Linked DNA regions of Oreochromis niloticus. The protein of the gene in region 2 interacts with the protein of the main gene of each other region in a pairwise test. Links are inferred from orthologs where the notes say so. Each region holds a gene or a part of one and is shown on either strand. Other genes may lie near its edges.

Evidence for each region.
Region 1: the proteins of tpp2 (region 2) and polb interact in binary tests that used the Homo sapiens proteins (3 or more experiments, as listed by UniProt). The two-hybrid records come from large-scale screens. The link is inferred for Oreochromis niloticus from reciprocal best matches to the Homo sapiens genes TPP2 and POLB.

What each region holds. Positions count from the first base shown.
Region 1 is NC_031977.2:25,924,390-25,928,143, forward strand, and holds the start of polb (DNA polymerase beta), read right to left. Parts: upstream 2,706-3,754; 5' UTR 2,533-2,705; coding exon 2,472-2,532; intron 2,151-2,471; coding exon 2,093-2,150; intron 1,063-2,092; coding exon 996-1,062; intron 613-995; coding exon 538-612; intron 416-537; coding exon 357-415; intron 229-356; coding exon 179-228; intron 1-178. Other genes in the region: enkd1 (enkurin domain-containing protein 1), read right to left, coding at 3,186-3,346.
Region 2 is NC_031965.2:16,547,246-16,550,999, reverse strand, and holds the start of tpp2 (tripeptidyl-peptidase 2), read right to left. Parts: upstream 2,274-3,754; 5' UTR 2,170-2,273; coding exon 2,005-2,169; intron 1,111-2,004; coding exon 982-1,110; intron 879-981; coding exon 783-878; intron 266-782; coding exon 161-265; intron 1-160. UniProt on the Homo sapiens protein: Cytosolic tripeptidyl-peptidase that releases N-terminal tripeptides from polypeptides and is a component of the proteolytic cascade acting downstream of the 26S proteasome in the ubiquitin-proteasome pathway.

The DNA.
Region 1 (3,754 bases), on a different chromosome or scaffold from region 2:
TTGGAGAGAAAGAGAGGGAAATAAATGCAGCAAAGGGCCACAGGTCAGCTTGAACCTTGCCTGCTGCGTTCTAGCCATGTGGCGTGTGGCTGCCTGCTCACGGCACTGAGCTAAAAAAAATTATACTAACCATACAAAATATGTATCAATTTTAATTTGAGGCAAATGCTACACAAACCTTCTAAAGTCTTCACCCCTTCTTCAACAAACTTCCTGGCAGCAGCAGGTCTGAAGTGAAAATAAAGCACATACAATATTACAACAGAAAGTCAATAATACACTTGCTATATTCTAATTCTGAATATGAACATATAATTTTTTATCATACGTGCAGAGTGAACAACCAAACAACATACCCAATTCCAGTAACTCTGGTGAGGAAATTGATGGAAGAGCTAGTGTCATCGTTTCGGATCTGTTGGAAGATATAAATGTAGCGCATCAGTCTGTGTAATAACTCAGTACATAGACATAAAAATAACTATTAAAAAATTATTTTTACAGTGTGACATCAGTAAAGTGATCTCTTAGACTCACCTTTTCCAGTTTCCTAAGTTTGCCAGTTTGCAGAAACTCATCAATCTTTTCTGCTATTTTAGCTCCAACACCATCCTATTGAAATGTGACAACAATCATGAGGGTGCTGCTCAGCAGTGTGATCTGCAGTGATTATGTAAGATGTGCAGAGAAGCTGTTGACAAACAGGCTACAACAGAGGCCATCACATAAACAGCAGCATGAGCACATTAGTGGTAGGCCAGATAAATAATGATGGGGGCGCTGCCAGGTTTAACAATGTCATTGTGACAGTGAAAGTCACACATTTTAAAGCACATGGAGAGGATGACAGATGACCTCTGATTTGATAACATGCAAAGAGAAATCTCCAGTTCTATATGCCAATTCTTTTGTTAAGAAAGAAGATATTTCTTTCATTTATATTTTTTATCTATCAGTCTGCCTATGACAACTTATACATACATACACATACATACCAGTTTCTTGGCCTCTTCTCCACTTTTGATTTTGTGAGGGTACTTAGAAATCGTAGATGCTGCTTTCCTAAGCACAGAAAACAAGGGACCGTGTAAGTCATAGCAAAAAACATATGTAAAATTGAATTAGGCCACTTTTTCTTTAGGTTAATTTCTTTTAGATCGTAAGTGTAAACATGACAATGCTATGATACAGCATACAGCAAAAACCTAATCATAAATCCAGGAAGTTTATCTTGTACTCTATGCTTTTCTGGTGGACTAGAACACTAGATCATACTTCTCCTATTATAGCTTATCTCAATTGCCTCCCTGCTAAATACAAAATCAAATTTAAAATCCTTTGATTTTAAATGAATGACTGGGCTCCATCCTATTACGTCAGCAGAGTCCTTCACTCTCGGACTGGAGGCTTACTTGGCTTACTGGATCCTAAGTAACAAAGTTGTAAAGATTTCAGCCATCAGCCCCTTTCCAGTGGAATCAGCTTCCAGTTTTTTCCTGAAGAGACAGTCATCCTCTCCACTTAAAACTTCCTTTTTGATAACGACAAGGCCGGATCAGGTATCAGTTTTGAGCCACTTCTTAGTCACGCTGATGCAGGCTCAGGCTGCTCTGGGGCTTCCCATGATTCAGTTAACCTCTTTTATCACTTTATGTGTTATATAGCACTAATGGATGTAATGATTCCTTTTTTACTACCTACAAGTTCCTGTTGTTGTAAACAGGTCACTACAGACAGTCAGTCCTCCCTGAACCTAGTTCTACTGGAGGTCTTTTTGGAGGTCCCCCTGTTAAAAGGGAGTTCTTCCTGTGAAGTGCTGCTTATCCGATCATGTGGGGTTCACTCTAATAATGTAGTTTTTAAGCAACAAAAAAAAGAGTTATTTCTCTTAACTGAAAGTGTTTTAAAGACATTCTAATTCAATAGAATGTTTCTTTTAACATGAGTCTATACTTAGTCATATAAGAATAGACTTATATGGGGGCGTTGTACTAACACCATCATTTATGGCCGAGTGGACGTAATACACTTGAAACGCTTGTTTTATGAAGACCAGTGACTGGGACAGGTTTTCACATAATTATGAGCTTACCTGTATGCATTGTATTTGTGTATTGCTCTGTTGACATTTTTCTCGTAGTTGGCCAATTCTGGAAACAGAGGCAGTGTTAGGACAAGGCAAGACTTCACATTTCCCTCATGCTACTTTATTCCTGCTACTTAATCTTCTGCCAACTCAGCTGAAGGTAGAAGGCATTTAAATGACAAGGCAGATAGCGAGCGAACCAAATCACACGTGTAAGCAATCCAGATAACTAGATGCAACAACTACAACTCTATATTTAGAATATTTTGATACCCGCTACTCGTGCAGGGTTAGTTTACCAGCACGGTTGGTATTTATATTTAATAACAGAACCCAACTTCCATGCTAGCAACGGTTAGCTGAGTTCAACAATCTCTTAACGTACCGACGAGAAAGTCTGTTATTCCCTCATTTAGGGACTCCTGCGGCGCTTTCCTCTTGCTCATTTTGAATCTGACAGTCTCTCAAATAAACACTGGAGAGATATATGGGCGTTTATGTAGGCACGAGAGCCTGAAGCTCTTTTTATTTCCAGCTAGCCTCCTACTAGCACGTTAGCTTAGGCTAGCTCTCACGCCAAACAATGAACGATAACGTAGAGGGGGCGGGGCGTGCGTAAAACGTCATCGTTAGCCACAACATTCACATCTGCTTCAACTAGTATAATTATAGTATAATAAATAATAAATAAATATGACACAAAATGAATCGGAACAATCGAAAATTACTGAGTTCTAGTGTATTTCTATATTTATTCATGCAATGAAATTAACTAAAAAAAGCTGTAGTGCATTGTTTGGTAGGTTTTAACATTCCAAGTTACAAAAATTATGTAAGTACGTACACAGTAACTTCACAAAAATGTTCTTTATTATAAATCATTAGCACATCCATACCAAAGAAATCACATCTCAGCAAATGATGCCTAAAGATGCTCTTTTGTATTTTGTAATAAGCTTACAAAATGATTTATTCACATTTTAAAAATAATTTCACAACAAACAGCGTAATGTTATCTAATGCAACTAAAAAATGAAAGTTAATCTCAATAAAGCAATACATTTACTTAGCCACTTCCTTCCCTCCTTTTCCTCGTGTGTTAAGAATCTATTTTTACAAAAACTCTGTCCCTGGAGAAAATTTTTATGGCTTCTTCAATTTCAGAAAGCCTACAGTCAAGTTGGGCCCGGCGTGAGCGAATACTCAGATTGTCAGCTTTGAGAGGCAGGGAGAGCAGCTCCGTCACCAGGGAGCGGTGGGCTGAAGAAAAAAAAATGTCAGAAACACATAATTAGTGAGGCAACTACTGATGTTCATTCTGTACTATTTACTGTACTTACTAAGCTGCTGTTATTGTGACGGATGGCTGAGCACTGGAGGAAGAAATAATAGGCTTTTCAACAGACTGACAGCCCAGTCTTTTTTCCCCCTTTTTTTCCTACAGCAGTGGATTAGTTTGCCATATTTATAGTCCAGATTGTTTGGCCAAACTGATGAAAAATCAAACCAAGAAAAGAATTTTACTAGAAAAAAATAATTTGTCTCTTCAACTTAAAGGTGGTGATCCAACCACAACTAAGCCTTGATACGTGCTTCATAAAAGACTTCCTGGATTTCTCAACACACAGTCCAAAGACTGGGCCAGCACATCCCATCACTAGATTTAAG
Region 2 (3,754 bases):
ATAATCAGCCCACAATCCCACTTCTTTAAAAGCATTATTTGTGCCATTCTCACTTTCAAGTTCTCTCCTCCAGCTCGCTCTATGAATTTATAAATGTACATATTTTCTAACATAAACGTTGCCTTTTTCTCTCAAATGACCTCAAGGGAGCAGGTCTGACCTGTGAGGGGTTTGGATGAGCGAGGTCAAACTCTTCCGTCTTGCGGCAAACCTCAGCGAGTGCTGCTCTGTGTGGCGGGTCCCACATCTTCTCCTTTCGCTCTTTCTAGTAGTCAAAAACCACAAAAAAAAAAAACAATAACTCTCCAACACAACACACAGTCTAACATACAAGGCAGGAAATAATCTCAGCTGAAGAGCTGTCAACAGGGACACTCCAATTGTGTTTTTCCCCCATTCATTCACCATGTGAGTGTATTATATGAAAAAAAGCTATAAACTCGTTACAAAATTTTCCAAGTATGGATAATCAATTCAGAATAAAGGTCAAATCCTATCAGTTCACTGATTTCAGATAGATTTTCTATGAGAGGGAAGAGGACAATTCAGCAGGTTTTTTTTGTTTTATCGCCAAAGCTGATTGAAGTGTTGAAACATCAGGAAAAAAGGCCTGTCTGTGACTCAGGTGTCCAGAAGCTCCACTGCCATGAGTCTTTTGAACAGTTGCTATCATGTCCAAGCTTAATTGTCCACGTGTCAGGAGTACTGGGCTTTGTGCTCATCAAAAAAAAAAATCAACACTGTGTCAGACAAAGTGAAGTAATAATGTCACCTCTTCCTACCTGTACTCTTTCTTTCAGAGCCTTGGGGAAGAACTCGTAGCCATTTTTAACTCCAATGCGATACTTCCCTGATGGATTGACCCAAGCAGGAGGGACCTGGACGACATTAAAAAAATATGCAGTGTGAAACAGATGAACGAGAGCGCCTATAAAGGAATGTTTTTAATGTTTGTGTACATGGATATGTTTATATACTGACCTTGAGCGTTCTGCCAGAGAGGCCGGTGATTGTCCCATCTTTAGGCTCCGCCACGGTGGTCATGTTCACATCGCCACTGCCTGTCGTATCGATGATGTCAACAATCTTTGGCTTCCCCTCAGTTGTGACCTAAGAGAACAAAAAAAAAATATGAAAGAAATCAGCAATCCACTAGAATACAGACAGAAAAAGGTGCACATCATAACCAGTATCTTACATTGAATGGGGAGGGGGATATGGACAGCAAACTAAATGAATCGTCATCCATAAATCAGCTAAGTAACTCAGCCGGTCTTGAGTAAAATGATACCTGAAAAAGCTCAACGTGCTTTTTAACATGAGGATTTGTTTACTACCAGAGAAGCAGTCAGTTTCAGTCTCAGCCCCTCAAGCATGACTGAAGCAAGAGAACAGAAAATAAGCTCATGTATTGTGAAAGCTATCCAGCTAGACTTACACATGTGCACTGAAATAGGCAGGTTTAGAGTAACATGTAGTGTTTAACACTGTATTGGTCGGCTTATTTTTTTACGTTGTGACTTGGCAGTGAGGATAAAGTTTCACAGTTTACGGGCCACTTATCAAAACGCCAAATACGCTTAGTTTACTCTGCCTTACTACTATTAAGCTAGCTACAACATCCAGTCAGCATGTAAGTCTAATAATGTAAACACTGGAATAAAGGGGGTAAAAAAAAAAAAAAACACGAAAAGAATTCAGCAGCTAGCTTCCAGGCTGTCATGCTAGCACACATTTTAACTTACTGGCTAACTGTACGCCAGACTAGCACGGAAATACACTCTGACAGCAGGGGTAAACACACACTACTAGCTGCTTTGCCTTAATTTGGTTGTCATTGTGGCGTTAAAGTTAACTATTGGTGTATCCACAGATGCTAAGTATCTAGCTAGATGACTAGCCGCTGCCGTTGTATACCAATGAAGTGAATGAGTCGGCCCTTTAGCTTCGCTAGCTTCCGCCAACTAGGTCGTGGCTTAACACGAGGCAGCCGGTCAGATCTACCTGCATGCCGGGGGCCCCGGGATCCACGCCGGTGTCGAGGATGGCGATGAGCACCCCTCGGCCATCATACTCGGGGAACCGGGTGAGGTAAGAGGCAGCGCCGGTTTCTTTTTTGGGGAGCAGCCCGTGGAAGGGGAACGGCTCTTCGGTAGAATGAGCAGCCATGATCGGAAGAGCGACAATGAAAACAAAGCAGCGAAATGGGGAAGAGAGCAACAGTACGCGTGTGGGACTGACGGGGAGGAGAGCTAGTTAAAGGGGCAGTGCTTCCAGTAACCCCCAGGCCAACAAGCAGGCCTTTATCAGCCTGTTAACTTATCTGCTTTAGTCTGGACTGGGTTTTTTACTGTCATGTGAACTGTCTGCTGGCTGGAAACCAAGATGTGTAATTGAGCAGTGTATGACTGCATGAAAGCCAAGAGGTTTCACATCCTTGATAACATCCTTGCACACACACACAGAGGTGGCTGACTGATCAAACTCAGAGGTGTATCAGCATCTGCAGTGTGTGCAGAAAAGTTGATTTTGTCTTCCTCACGCTGTTATCATTTTTGTGTTTGTGAAACGTCATCTCTATGTCACCCTGAGCAAAGGTCTCATCGGCCACCTGTAGAGGTGAGCAGGACTTGTACGCTGTCACATGCATCTTGTAAATCCTGGGTCATTAGTGAACAGTGGCACTGGGTGGTGCTGTATTACCGCTGAATGTTTGCTGCAGTTACATATTTGTGCTCTGTAGGAACTCTGAAGGCATTCACTGCACAGTTTATCCTCTCAAACAGGTTTATTAAATCAAGTCTTAATGCATCAACATGCACCCTTAGGAGAGTAGCTGCTTGAACTAACCACAATCCGAGCGATTTTAATAATGCTTTAGTGCTTTGTGAACTGAAGGCAACAAAACCATCTGACAGCAATCTGTCATTTGTTGGCTATGGATGCAATGTATGCACATATACATTTTTACAATTTTAACTCTGCGTAGATAAGAGAAAATCCTGAATAAACAGCACCCGGTTGTTGTTTTTAAAGTCATTAAATTTGTGAAAGATGGATTAAGGGCTATTCATATTTTTGCACGTGTTCTTTATTAGTTTTTCTGTAATGTAACCCCGTTACTAGCCAACAACAAAATTGCTGCTCTCTATTTTTTTTCTCACACATGCAGTGCTGAGAATAAGGAAGAAATTAAAAGTTAAAAAATGAAAGTTTTATTTGTCTCCCTCTCACATACCAAATGACATACATTCAGATTTGATTCATCCTGTATTCATAGAGCTTTTATTTATCTTCTCTCTAATACCAGGATTAACCTTCCACGTCAATCGCCATCTGTACTGCTCAATATCATGTCTTTCTCGCTCAACTTATAGCACATCGATTCACATATCTAGACTGTAGGTTAATCTTTGTGGTTGTGCTATAAAAAAAGGGGGGGGGGGGGGGGGGGGGACAAACCACAAAAGGGAGGGTTAGTCTTTGTTATTTTAGGTGTGCCAACGCCCTCAGATGCTGTTCTTATGCCTGGTTTGCACGTAAAAAACTAACACTTAGCATCCTTTCACTAATCTGCCTTTAATCAGCATCTGTCTACTCTTCCTCTTTCTGTCAATGGCTCGTCGTTGTCACATATGAACACACCGAGTTAACCACACTCCTGCAGTCATATTTTGTTGTCACGAACACGATGCATATACTATATATATATATATATATATATATATATATATGTATATACTAGTTTTTTCCC